Linked DNA regions of Styela clava. Each later gene encodes a partner of the first gene's protein in a complex. Links are inferred from orthologs where the notes say so. Each region holds a gene or a part of one and is shown on either strand. Other genes may lie near its edges.

Region 1 (7,320 bases):
TACGTCACAATCGTTACAAATTCATTTCGATTGATCTTATCCCGGTATCGCCTTAAAATTATTTACGAATCGAGATAGTTCCATAATCGCGCTACTGCAAGGGATATGTAGCGTGGTTCGAACATACTTCAATAAGACCCGATTCCGGTATTAAACAGACAAATTCTCAGTGTTCGATGAGCAATTTCTACTTTGAGATATCATAAAGAAAAACAGCATCAACTGCGCACTTTTTGGATGACATCGAATATACGATTTTGCAATGAAATCGGGAACAGTATATTTTGGCAAAAAAATTATTCTGAATTTATCGTTTTCAAATTTTTATAATCAGTAATATTTGTACTTCAATTATTTTTACAATTGTTGGGACCTCACCAATACAGTTAGTGATGTTCTTTTGAATTAAACACCCCAGGTGATGAATTTGCGATGAACTAATCATTTTTTATGTACCTTAATTGTACATTATAAAGATGATTTGTACCTGAGATGTCAGTTAACGGTTAAAATAAATCGTAACCGTTAACCATGTAAAATCGGTTAACCGATTGATCGGTTAACCATTTCCAGCCCTATTATTGAAATAATCGTCGCAAGACAATTTTGCCCCGATATCTCCGGACAAAGCACCCTGCATTAGGTCTGATGTTTTTATTGTAATACTAGCATCGATGACCAATGTGATTTTGTTACAGTATTTTATATCGTATACCGAATATCTTTCGCGTGTGTACTGATATTTCCATTCACATCAACTATTTAATACATTTGTCAAAATATTGAGTGATAAGTGTTAAAGTTGCGTGTAGACAATGGTTTAATATGTTAAAGGTTTATATTATATTGGTTATATTATGTTTTATTGTTATTTTATGTTATATTATGTTTTATTATATTATATTGACCGACCTAATATTGAGTATCTGGTTTTGGAGTATTAATTTTGAACCATTAAAGTCAATAAGATAGGCAGAAATATATAGACCTATTTCGTCGAAGCGATAAACAACAACTAACCAGTGAACACCTGAGTGTCGCTGTCTTACGTCTGCAAGGGAACCGAACGAGACAACACCACATCCTTTCGGGAGACGCAAACTGCAAGTAGCTTCAATCGTTTCCTAATCTAACGGACTAATTTAACAAGCATTAGTTAGGGACAGAACTACTAATCCACAACGTCATCAAAAAACCGACATAACCGGTCCAGATTACCAGTTCTCACGACTCTAAAAATTCTTGGTATTATCATTAATTTCAATAAGAGAAGGATGCAGACATCGCAATTCATTGTATCAACTCCTTCACAGTGGGGAACGCGCACTAATATAACCAGGATTAGGGCCATGATCGGGCCCCAATGCAGTGTAACGCCCGTTGATGAAGTAACAAAAATATTAGTCGCGTCCAGAATGCCATCAAAATTTTCCGTAGTACTAACTGCAATTAACGATGAACCGATAATCATGAACGACAATGAACCTGATAAAGTAACCCGTATGCAGAGTCGGTATTATGCAAATTCAATGAAGGTACAGAGTAGGAAAGACGACAAAATTCCCGGCCAAGACAAATCTGACAAATGAAGCTTGCCAACGAGGGCCCTTGGATAAAATCTGGAAAGAGCCCAGATTTGGTAAAACGCAAATTCGGAATGATATATATTAGTAACAACAAAGATGAATGTTCGGCGAAAATGGCCAAGGTATGCCCTGAAAAAACACCTGAATGGGACCCAGATGAGGCGACGATACAGCTGGTCAATACTGAAAGTATGAGCAAGCTGCCAGAATCTAGAAACAACAGCAAAGCATCTGCCCGAGTGGCTAAAGAGAAAAAAGTCTTCATTGATCAACCTTCTGTGAGAACCAGCCAGCAGAATAGTGAAGAATATGTTAATATCAAAATGGATGAAATCCGAGGAAACGTCCAAATGCAGTTGAAAAGCAAAATCATGATGCGAAACCCAAAATGACGACTGCTGATCACTCGTTTCGGGATATGCCAGAAGCTGGCCGAGATAATGACCGCTCCGAAGCAGATGCACTTCGTATATCCAATGACGTGACAAAATTCATATTGGAGGGAAGTTGTAAAGTTTTGCTGAGGGGTTTACTTTCGAGTAATCGAGTAACACCCCGGATGAACACTGCGATTAGAGGGTGGAGAAGTGCAACTAAGCGAAAAGTGCGGCGTTGACTCGTGTAGAGCGATGTGGCAGTGTACAAAGATATTTATTATTGTTAAAAAATTTGTGTTAGCGTATATTTTGTTGTACGAATAACATATCGGGGCATCCGAGTAAAAGTGCCGTACGCACCGTATGCCTAAGCTAATTGGAATATTTAGAAAAATGATTTCTGTCTAAAGCTCAATTTAATAGCACAAAATACGAATAGGATAATAGAGCAAAATTTTTACAGTCGAAATTGGGTTATTATTATTTTGGCATAGTTGGGAAATATGAACTCTTATTTTGGTAGAGTCATGGAACTAATTTTCTGTGAACAGGGAGTCATTAAATGCTAGCGTGGTCTTGTCCGCGCACTGCATATCAAGAAACTATTCCTATTTTAGCAGTGAGTCTTGAAAACAGGAAATTCTCTGCGAAATGAGGTCACATATGTTGAAAAGTCTATGACTTGTGGTTTTTTAGCAAAACGTCGCATTCGTATATATTGCAAAAAGGTTTTACGTAAATTGGGCACTTATGACTCACAATTAAACCTGGACTGTCGCTTTTGATATTATAAAAAGGGTTTATGTTAATTATTTGTATTATTCACGTAATCTTGATCTCAAAAATTAGAAATGGGATTCTAAGTTAAGTTATATTGTAAGAAAATGTTCGTAATTTATTACTATTATTTTAGTTTAGAATTAGTTACAAAGTTGTTAACGTTAAATGTCTTTGAGTTTTGTATTTTAATTTTTTTTGCCAATTGTAAAGTTTAAATGTCTTTCATTCTGGAAATTGCAACATGATGTAGTGATTGGGAATATTGTTGATCAAATGTTGAATATTCAAATGTTCTCACAAAAAACACATGTTGTTGACTTGTAATTGAACCGCAAACGATTTCTGAAAATGTTCGACATGAAGTTTATCCCACCTGTCAATCAATTCACCCACGTTATGAAATGTAATTATTGTATGAATAGGTCATGTGGGATCAAGCATGTTATAAGACTTTGGAATTTCTCATTGATTTAAACTTAGCGTGTATGTATGTATTTTCATTTTTGTGCTTATATCTGAATTTTTATTAGGGCTTAAGGAATTAATACGCATATATTTATATCGTGTATGTATTTGGTTTATGCACTACTCATTTTTAATCTTTTAGGTAATCTTGCTTACTCGTACGACTAAATGACTTGAAACTTTATTTTATTATTATTTTTGAGTTTAATGTTCAATTTATTTTTGATTAAATTGTTCATTATTGATTAATCGGGCGCATCCGAATGGAGAATGTAAGTCGTAATTTCATGTTTTTATTTTGTTATATTGCATAGTAAAGTTATACCGCATACTGAATGCGATTATTTATTGGGATTGTTCCAACTTGTATTTTAAAACTCATAAAAAAACTATAAAACGGAACAGTTGAAAACTCTTAATATAACCAATACTTTCACCCACCAGACTTAGGAACAAAATCGGGGCCACCATGCAAAAACTAAATTGCTGATGAATGTAACATATATTCCGGTTTCAGTGTATTTGAACAATTTCACCTCGGCGGAGTAATTATCTGTAAGTTATATACATACTTTATAAATGAGTAAATATGACTGAGCAGAGAAAAACACTCGAAAAAAATGGAGGCACCACTGGGATTGATTTGAGGGCAATTGTCACGGCAGATTACATTGTCATGACCAACGCACCATATTAGGTGTTTCTAATGAAAGATTAACTTCGGTATCAAGGGTCCTTGGCGATCTACGGTCGATTGTGGATGGTTAAACATAGAGCTGATGTGTCTATGGAATTATTCAATGAACAATGTGATTTTGTTACAATATTTCATATCGTATGCCAATTATCTTTTGTGTGTGTAATGATATTTTCATGCATAAATATCGAATATTTAGCAAAATATTATGTGAAAAGTAGTGACGATTATGATCACTGATAAATGTATATTTCAGTGATCAAGTTGGTGTTTTGAAATTTCGTGTAGACAACGTTTCAATATGTTAAATGTTTATATTAGTTTGGGTATATTATGTTTTTTTTGTATTAACCGAACTAATATTGGAGTGTTTGGTTGTATTAAGGCTTAGACCATAAAATTAAATAAGATCGGCAGATTCGGGTCGCTCTGAGACTCGAGTTGGTGTGGACGAAGACCTCTGTCGTCGAAACGATAAACAATTTACCGATGAACATCTGAGTGTCGCTGTTGTACGTCTGTAAGATCTGCAAGAGAACCGAACGAGACAGCACCACATCAAGAAAATCGCCGTGGAGAGGCAGCCCTGCGAGAAGACGCAAACTGCAAGTAGCTTTAATCGTTTCCTAATCTAATTGACTAATTTAATCAGCATTAGTAAGGGACAGGACTACTGATTCCCAGCGTCGCCAACAAAACGGCAACACCAGTCCAGAATACCAGCCTTTACGAGAGAAATTTTAAAAGAAGAGCTGAGAATTGCATGCTTGCACGTTAATACTTTTCCAAGACATTTATAGGAGATGGTGCTAAATTGGTTCAAGAAGGGGAGGGCGCGCCTTACAAGGGGGAAGAGAAACTTCGGGAAATAATGAGTCTAATCAAACAGGCCATAGAGAGACACAAGAATGTTAGCGGGACGGAAAAGAAACTCTGCAAAGACTTGATAAGACTTTTTGCCGAAATGCAACGCGAACTATCGAGTGCTAAAAAAAGGAATTGGAACAGGCAAAGAAAGAGGTCAAGAAAGCCGAAATTAATCTCGCAACTGTAGAAAAGGGGGCAAAAAAGACCAGTACGAAAGTTAATGTAGAAGATTTCCAAAAGGTATTCAAGACGAATACCAGGCTGGGAAATTGTACATGGAATCCTTATTGGAGGATTCGGCAAATGCGCAGCCAGCGTACGCAGCGGTTAAAGCAATAGAGCCAACGGCTCCAGTGCCATCGCCGCCCTCTTACAGTGCCACTCCAATCAAGCGATAAATCTCCCTAAATTTGTGGGCAATCCACATCGAGATTCCCGAGGGCCTATCAATGGTCGTGGAGAAGGGATTTGACAGCCAACAGGTTAACGTGGTAAGAAATATATTGTCAAATAGTCATTTTCATCAGTCAGTAATTTATTTCTTCACGATACTCAAAAAAGAAGATATATATATATCCGTAAACCATAACTGGTTGCACAAACGACGTTAGGGATGATTTCAATTATTCCGCGAAAGTAGTTCTTACCGTAGTTGAACAATGGCATAGCCATAGATGTGTTGGCGCAGACGATCACCCTGGTACGTTTTATGTAACATCTCAAAATGCCTTACACGATAAGTCTCCGAATTACTTACATTTTCCATTCAACGAATTTATTTAAATATGTCATTACCAGATGCGCATTGTAAATTTATATCCGTTTTTAATTGCTGAAACTCATAATTTGTTTGCTAAATTATTACAAAGACAATCAACTTTATTAATTAATCAAGGGCTACATTCATTGAAAATACCATCTGACTGCAAAACCCGATGGCTGTACATTCAGGCTGTTGTAGATAGAAATACCAATAATCTCTAGCTCTTCAAAACTATTTTTACTAAATTAGTCCCGCCCACTTAAAAGCTGATCCACTACTCACTTGTACAATCGAAGATTATATAAATTCCAGGCTTATTTATTATCTTATCTCCCGTTATAAACTAGCTGGAACAGAGGCTTCAAAAAAATATTCAACCTTGTAAAGTGGAACAACAACACAGAATCAGGGAAGTTTTGGGCTGAAGGATATGCAAAAAATTCCCTGACTTCATTTTCAGAATACTTTGAGTTCGCTAAGCAAGTGTAGCGTACCGACAGACGATGAAATAATTATCCAAGTTCAAAATATCTTCCAATATGGTCTGACGTCAAGTTTCTTCTCAATATTCACTTCAAGTAATGTTATTTTATTCTATTTATTATTCATCAATCTTAATACAACCAAATACTTCAAACAAAAGACAAGCATACAATAAAGCGACAAGTACCAGGTAGCACAATGCAAGAAAACAGAATATACACAATAAAAACACTTTGAACAGTACTGATGATAGCTAATTCCCTGACAACAATCAAAAATACAACGATAAAATAACTGCAATGGCACTGTACTGGAACAATAATATCAGCCTACTGTCTAGCATAAAAACATCCAACAAATCTCCATCCCGCAGTCACAAAACCACAAACAAAGATCCCTGATAACCCACCTGAGACCAGAGGCACTCCCACCGACACTCATGACCAGAATCCAACCACACTGTACCGGTACCAACCACATCACACCACAGCACAGCACACGCTAACAGCCACACCCAAAAAGAACAGAACCGACAGTGTCACAGCGTGTGTCCTCCCAGTGTCCCCATTGTCAAAATACCAAATAAGACAATAATTTCACATGACAGCATTTAAAACCTTCCCCAACCGATCTGTCTGGTGCCATTTTACATGGGTTATTTTTTGTCAACCATTAGGCCCCCAAAGCTTCACTCATGGCTTTTTATTAGCGTGTGATAGAGCTCTATTCAGCAATATATGTAAAACGCACTCATCTAAAAAAAAATTTTTTTACGCCAAAATTCAAAAATTTCTATTGAACTTGCAAGATTTTGTGTCTAGTAGAAGGTTAATAATTATTCCTAGTTAATTAATTTTTATTTTAACCTTTTTTTGTGTTATTTTTCAACAGAACAGCACCAAAACCACTATTATAGCAAGGATGGTCACTCTAAAATTCACGATTGTATTTACTAAATTTTTAAGTTCAAGGCTTCAATTGACAATTTTGATGACGCCACACCTCTAATTATTAGTGCACACGCCCCCCTCAATGCAAAAAATGTTACTTTTTCCGACGGAAATGCGCGTAGAAAGCCGTAAACATTATAATGTGCGCCGTTACGCGTGAAAATTACCATTAATTTTACGTTTTTTTCGCGTTTGAAAATTCTGGATACCTCTGCCAAGTATGGTGCAGTCAAAATCATATTTATCAAAATATCACAGCGCCAGGGATGATATGTCTGACTGAAAATACATGCTAAACCAATAATAAGTCATTATAAAGGAGTTAATGCTATTGATTTTCTGTCTGAGTCGC
Region 2 (7,707 bases), about 7.5 Mb from region 1:
TTTTGTCGAGTATGAAAGTCACTGCGCTTGACTACTATTTCACCACTTCAATTTTTTAAAATAAACTTTTATTGCTAAATACCAAACCTAGCTTAATTGTTGTCATTTTATATTTTCTGCTTCTAGTCTGATGAAACATCGGCAGAAATAGAATGGAAAGCAATTGAAGGAGGAACAGAATATAGAGTATACTATCACGAAACGGTAAATTTCTTTATGTTTCTATTTGTCTATGTGCGCGGGCTCAAATTGGAATTCATGAATTGGCGAATGAGACTTCTGAAACGTTGGTTTGTTGGGAGGACCGTAATCTCTTTGATTTGGCATTTCCTACATAAATTTACACCATTCTTAATTAGGAGCAAGATCTTTACATCTTTAGATCAAACGCTTCAACATATGCACTATTGAAAGATTGAATGAGAATTAACCTAGCTTTTTTGCATACATGAAATTTTAATAAGTTTATTGGAAACAAAATGTGCATATGGATCAATTTGCTATAGTCTTGCTGTTGTTGTTTGGGTAATTTTTATTGTTCATATATTTGACACCACTCTATTTTATGTTTCTAGATGATGGCGGATAAGAAAGCTTATGATGGACCAATTCTAGGCTGTGCTGAAGCTGGATCTACCATGTCAGCTACCATAAACAACTTGCAGAAAAACCAGGACTATTCAGTTTGGATTCAAGTTAAAAGAGATGGCCAATTTTTGGCCAATCTGTTAGGGGATAAAATCCCTAAATCCCGCCCATGAATTGTATGAACTTTCTGTCGAAATTGATGTTGTGCATATTAATAAAGTATATTCAAAACTAGAATATTTTGTGCTATCGATTGGGTTTCTACAAGACCAACTACTTTTCCGTTTTCTTTGCTTTTGCTTTTTCTAGAATATTTTTCTTGAAAATTTAAGGCAATAAACATCATATCTAAAAAGTCAAATGTGTAGGCTACATTTCTTGCGCTACCGCTCGAGTGGCAGAATGAGTTTTATCAATTTGTCAACCAAAAAATACAGTCATCAATAAAATAGCAACCGCAATAAAATTGTTTTGTTATGGTCAGGAGGGAGCGATACGATCATACATGGAGGTCAGCATCCACCATATTCTTTGATGTGAATAAAATTCACACAGGAAGATGACTACTAACAAAACATGAACTAGTACAATAGTAATAATACGACAATGTCTTGATTTGGTTATTAAGGAAATACTAACTCAGAAAAAGATTATGCGACTGTCAGGTCGCTTAGTTTTTAAATTTACTCCGCGTGGGTTCGCAGGTTGGAATCCCTTGGAATAATTATGTGCGAAAGGATTTCTCGTCGCCATAGGGTGGTTAAGGTAACCGATTTTTTTGTATTCTCTAAGAGAGAGGGAAAATGAGGTGTTTAGCCAGAAAACAGAAAAACAATCACTGCAACAATAAAAATATACAACTTACCCCGTAATTTAAGAGTTTTGAATCAGATAAGTTAGTTATTATCACGCTTGCTACAGCATTCTTGCATTATATGCATACGGATCCACCGACACAAAAGCATAGAAGAGGGATAAGTAGTTAGTTTCGCAGAAACCAAATCATACCCCCTAAACTAAATGTACATAAAAAGTAATTTTAGTTAGTTTGCAAAGATCAACAATCTGTACATTAGTTTATTTTTATTTGATGCCTCATTGGCTATTATATTCTCCGGAAAAATTTTATATTTATCTTTCTTCCGACATTCAGTACACTACACGATGAACAAGAGAGCTATGCTCAAATATATGGACATAAAATTTTGATGACGTCATAGCGAAAATTTTTTTTAACTTTAACCACTGAAAATTTCAAAGCAATTGGTCCAGTATACGAAGAGAAAAGCGATTTATTCAAAACGTGTTGCTTGAGACAAATAATAACAATAACAACAAAATTTTGAAACGATCGTTATGTCCACTACGTGTCCAAAAGTGAATGAAAATATACCACGTGACCTAACTTTGACACGCGCGAGTGCATTTGCACATTTTATAAAACGTACGTCTTGCGTTTCAGCGTCGGCGTGTTGATTGATTCAGTTTTTACGCGTTTTCATGTTTTACTTCCCCAGAATCTGAGAATAGAACAGTATTATTTCGATGGGAGACAGGCTAGACTAATTGTATTTTTATCCTTTGCGGTAGAAGTTATGGTGACCGTACATTTGAACCCATAAGAATATCCGCGGGTTCAATCTATATGCGTCTGCTAAAACTGTAAAACCCATTGGGATGGTTAGTATGGGTTCAAATATCCAGAATATCCGCAAAAAAAAATCCCTGATGCAATAGTATGCAGGTGCAATTGTCGTGGGTTTAAATGTACGGGTACCAGAAGTTATAAGTAGGCTATATTCAACCGTGTGCAATGTCAGAATGTAGGACAATAGGATGTTAAATTTTCCGATTTTATTTTGGGAAAAACAAGAAAACGTGAACATTCACCTATCCACTGTAGACTACATACAGACATAGGCCATAATTATACGGTATCTTATGAATTTAACAAAGTATCTCATCATAATCTTAAATCACATTAAAAACAGCAATATCAGAATATTGTATTTTGAAATTCAAACTAGCCTACACAGCTACAGGACTACGGTACCCGTACCTAAACTACAAAACAAAATTCGGGTCTGGTATAGTTTAGTAGTCTATCACATGTCTGACTTCTAGTTGGCCTGGCTCCACAATTATTGCATATGCCATTTCTAACCCCCACCTGACTGCGTCATCCAAAAATTACGGGTCTAATATAGTTTAGTACCACAAGTACTTCTGGTTGACCAGACTGGAATCCATGGCAGGTGCACGCCCGAGGGCGCTAGCGCTCCGCGAAAATGCACGCGAGCGAATTCAATTTTGCACGCCGAAAATTTGCAATTGCTCACCAATGTAAATCGGTTTAAATTGTTTTAAAATCAATAATCCAGTAATATAAAGATGCCAAAATAGTATAACTCCACAATTGTCGACTAATACTAGCTTGCAAAATTTGGTCTGATCGAAAAATGCGAAGCAAAAAAGACCATATCGTGTTGAATGATAGGAATCCCGTGAGAATAGTTATGGACGAAAAGATCGCCTCCGCACCAACGCTGGCCAGGTACGGCTCTGATTTAGCGTATTTTTCATACAATAATTTTACACGAATGTACTGAACAGTACCGGTATTTAAAGTCGAACAAACACTCTCAAAATTAGTGACGGAGTATAAAAATACTGTTTGGGGTCAATGGTCAAACGTCCAATTTTGCTCTAATTTGATGTATTTTTATTAATTCTACGTAAAAACACTCCCAAAATTAATGACAAAGTATGTCCATTTTTCTCTGGTTCAACGTATTTTTTATTCAATAATTTTACGCGGATGTACTGAACACTACCGGTATCCAATATCGCACAAACACTCTCAAAATTAGCGACAAACTGTAGAAAAAATGTTTGGGGTTAAAGGTCAAACGTCCATTTTTGCTCTGATTCAACGTATTTTTTATCCGATACCGGACGGTGATGTATCGAGAGGTATCTAATGTCAAAGTCAGTTGCACGCGGGCGCAGTTGTTTTGCACGCCGTGAGCTATAATTGCAGAGCCATTATATAATGGCTCTGATAATTGCACGCCAGGGATTCTTATTTGCACGCAGGAATTTCTGATTGCACGCCCGATTTCTCGTTCAAAAAGGCCATGAAAACCAGACTGGGTAGTCTATCACATGTCTGACTTCTAGTTGGCCTGGCTCCACAATTATTGCATATGCCATTTCTAACCCCCACCTGACCGCGTCATCCAAAAATTACGGGTCTAATATAGTTTAGTACCACAAGTACTTCTGGTTGACGTAGCATAACGAATTTTGCATATGTTCTTCCTAACCCCTACCTGACTATGTCTTCTAAAACTTTATTCCCAACGACGTCACAATCACATCATACAGTCATAGATCTTGCCAAAGTATAGCTACGACTGTACGATCACTCGAAAGGGCATCTGCATCGACGATAACGAACTCACTAACACCCGTGTTCTCTCGCATATCGGGATTGCTGGAGGTCTTTATTACGCCACTGTGGCGTCGTAGTGACGTAACTTTTGGTGACGTAGTCAGGCAGTACAGCACACAATCCAAATTCCAAGAATTACCCTCCATTTGGCTCAATGAAACAAACACTCTATGTGTCTCACAAATGAGGGGCATCTGGGACCACGTCGGATGCTTCATATCGCGCCATGCTTATCTCAATAATAATTAATCGCAGCCGTCACATGACCAAAATTGCCGTTTTTTGCTAAAAACGTTCGAATAAAATTTTTTTCCTTCGGTAAATCGGATTATTTTTTCCCAAGGATAACAATGATGACGTTACTAGATTGTGCTTTTTTGTAGTATTTTGCGCAAATTCATTATACTGTTTTATTATCGATATTGAGGTACAACAATGTCCAGACGTCTCCCAAAGGAGGTGTGTCTGATCATCTGTAAAATGGGATTGAGGATTGACATATGCAAAAATTGTCGATTCAGGTCAACTAGAAGTGCATGTGGTACTAAACTATACCAGACCCTTATGGCCCTTGCTTCCCAGTACTTCTAATAACTTCTACAATTTTTGTATTAGAAAGCTGTAAGTATAAAAGTTTATGGAAACTTGCTCGTAGGTAGCTAGTTTCACTCGGGCTGTCACAAGTTTGTAGAGCGTTGCTCACAACTTGAACCAGCATGGCGTTTCAATATGGAATGCAACCTCCACCAGGTATGCCACCACCTGGTATGCCACCTGGAATATCACAACCTCCCCCTCCTGCTGGTGGACTCAGTGAGGAACGATTACAGGTTGGTTGTGTTTTTACTTGAATTTTTTATGATTTTTACTGAAGGGAATACTTCAGTTATGCAAGATGAAGTTTCATGATCAATATATTGTAACATGACCACTATGACTGAGCATTTTAGCGTATTTGATGATTTCAAAATCGATTCAATTTTTTTTTTTGGAGGTGAATTTTGGATACCTACTTAATACAACGACTGAGGTATAATACAACGACTTAATTGCATGTTATATTTTTATTGTAATGGAAGATATAGAACCCAACACTCGGTCAGTCCTGCAGTCACATACAATAGGGAACATGTTTCATCAATAACTCAATAGGAAGAATAAAGTCATATGTCAGAATTACATTTCGAAAACATGGCTTCAATAAAAAAATTGAGCAATTCACTAAAATAACAAGATGACGGAGTTTCGAAATTTTCGTCTGAACCGATTCGAATAAATTAATATTCGTTTAGACTCGAATATTCAATTCAAAATGCCCATCCCTTATATCCAGGTTGTTATAAGTATTTTGTTGGAACAAAATTTGGAATTGAAAAATCTGTAAAAAAATTATTGATGAGAGTGTAATGAACAGTGCAACCCCAAACAAAGTAGATTCCAATTTATAATAGTTTCTTACCCGGTTATCTGCCTGTGCAAAGCCTTGTTTGTAGCATAAACAATAATATATCATATAAAAAATAATGTCTGTTTATTGGTTCTAGGAAAAAGCTAGAAAATGGCAACAATTGCAATCAAAACGTTACGCAGAGAAAAGAAAGTTTGGATTTGTCGACCCACAAAAGGAAGACATGCCACCAGAACATGTCAGGAAAATTGTGAAGGATCATGGAGATATGACAAACAGGAAATTTCGCCATGATAAAAGAGTTTATTTGGGGTAAAAATATTTGTTTTTATACTGATGGTTTTAATATATAAGTTGCCAGTCAGTGTTAATTGAAAGTGAATGTTTCTTTCTTTATTTTTCAATTTTTCGTCTTGTAATTATAAAATTCAATTTATGTTTGTTGCACTGGAATGTACTCGATACCTGATATGTAAAAATACTTTGTTTTGAAAATTACGGTATTTAAAATACTGCATTCTTTAATTTTTGCCATCTCTGATTCAGAATATAACTTTTTGATGGTTCCAGCGTATTATATTCTCATAGTCTGAAGAATTCAGTTTCTTATTAAATAACTTATACATTTTCTGATAATTTTTTTCTTATCAATCCAGGGCTCTGAAGTACATGCCTCATGCTGTTCTAAAACTACTTGAGAACATGCCAATGCCTTGGGAACAGATTCGGGATGTTTCCGTCATTTATCACATCACTGGAGCTATTACTTTTGTCAATGAGATTCCATGGGTCATTGAGCCAGCTTATATCGCTCAATGGGGGTAAGATTGTGATATGAAAATTAAATAAAACAAGTTTGTTTAGTGGAAATTGTTATATTAATACAGAAAAAAAACTTATTTATAAATATGTATAATGAGGAAAATGCATTAGGTATCTGAAATATTAGTTTATTTTAAAATAAGCAATAGATATTTTGTTATTACCAGTATACTTTATGCAGGAGTTATTAAATTAGTAATTGTTGTCAATATTAGCGTTGTACTGTGCCTCCCTCCAAAAGAAAAAAAAACGGAACCCAGCTGATAGGGAACATATTCTCGAGAGGCCGTAACTTTTTTGAAAAGCTTTCCAGATTACTAAAACTTTTGGGTACAATCATACTCCGAACTTAGGTGCTGAATAAATATTCTTCATTCTCGTAGGATTTGTTAAAAAAAATTATGAGTTCTATTTTTTGGGCCAATCTATATGTGTGTGAAAATTACTGATGCGTGATGCCTAAATAATTACTTGATTATTATTTTTTTCATTGAAACCAATTCTTTTTACCAGTAATAATAAGTGTGATCAGCTGTGTAGTTATCGGTTTCAATAACTTTATGGATTGAAACATTTGGATTGCCTCAATGTTAAATGTATTTTAGACTTTAGACAGTTTGAATGAAGTAAGCTTATCAAGCAAGCAAAATAAGTGGTGCTTTGCTCGAATATAAACATTTTTCAAGCTTCATATAAATTTTGCATTTAGACTGGTCATAGTAATAAAAAATATTGTCGGGTTACACTGCGGTTCCCAAACTTTTTGTTCGTGTGGCGGCAACTTATCAGGGAAAAAACTCACGGCGCACTCACATGTGAAAAAAGAAAGTGCTTTAAAATAAAACTCAATTTTGTGATCGTCAATATTCAATCATATTTTAGTTATGTTTGATATAATTCTTTTAATTTTTGCAGTGCACTAGGCAACTTGTGCACCTATTGGGAACCACTGTGGTAACACATAATCAGTGTATTATACCGTCTAACTATTTTTCTGTATCTTCTAGTTCAATGTGGATTATGATGCGTCGCGAAAAACGTGATCGTCGTCATTTCAAGAGGATGAGATTTCCTCCTTTTGATGATGAGGAACCTCCTCTTGATTACGCAGATAACGTGCTGGATGTTGATCCTCTTGAAGCTATCCAGCTTGAACTGGATCCGGAAGAAGATTCCTCTGTTTCTGAGTGGTTTTATGATAATAAACCATTGCAGGATGAACCCAAGTAAGGATATTTATATAGTAGAATTTCTTTACCTAAAACTGAAGTATTTTTTCCATTTTAGGGATGTCTGTATACGAATATCTTGATACTCTGAAATTCAGTCTTACAATCAAATTTTATGAGGGAAATCATGATAATTAAATCGACAATGATAATGATACCACGAAAAATGACCAGTGCTGTAAAAGTGACTACTGATTTAGGAGGAG

Evidence for each region. The genes of interacting proteins can lie anywhere in the genome.
Region 2: U5 small nuclear ribonucleoprotein 40 kDa protein-like (region 1) and pre-mRNA-processing-splicing factor 8 share a complex: the UniProt entries of both Homo sapiens proteins name them as parts of the U4/U6-U5 tri-snRNP complex. The link is inferred for Styela clava from reciprocal best matches to the Homo sapiens genes SNRNP40 and PRPF8.

The regions. Positions count from the first base shown.
Region 1 is NC_135250.1:11,930,447-11,937,766, forward strand, and holds the start of U5 small nuclear ribonucleoprotein 40 kDa protein-like, read left to right. Parts: upstream 1-4,275; 5' UTR 4,276-4,290; intron 4,291-7,320. UniProt on the Homo sapiens protein: Required for pre-mRNA splicing as component of the activated spliceosome. Component of the U5 small nuclear ribonucleoprotein (snRNP) complex and the U4/U6-U5 tri-snRNP complex, building blocks of the spliceosome.
Region 2 is NC_135250.1:4,435,455-4,443,161, forward strand, and holds the start of pre-mRNA-processing-splicing factor 8, read left to right. Parts: upstream 1-4,634; 5' UTR 4,635-4,758; coding exon 4,759-4,872; intron 4,873-5,586; coding exon 5,587-5,762; intron 5,763-6,106; coding exon 6,107-6,271; intron 6,272-7,279; coding exon 7,280-7,498; intron 7,499-7,707. Other genes in the region: uncharacterized protein LOC144428064, read left to right, coding at 127-204, 576-761. UniProt on the Homo sapiens protein: Plays a role in pre-mRNA splicing as core component of precatalytic, catalytic and postcatalytic spliceosomal complexes, both of the predominant U2-type spliceosome and the minor U12-type spliceosome.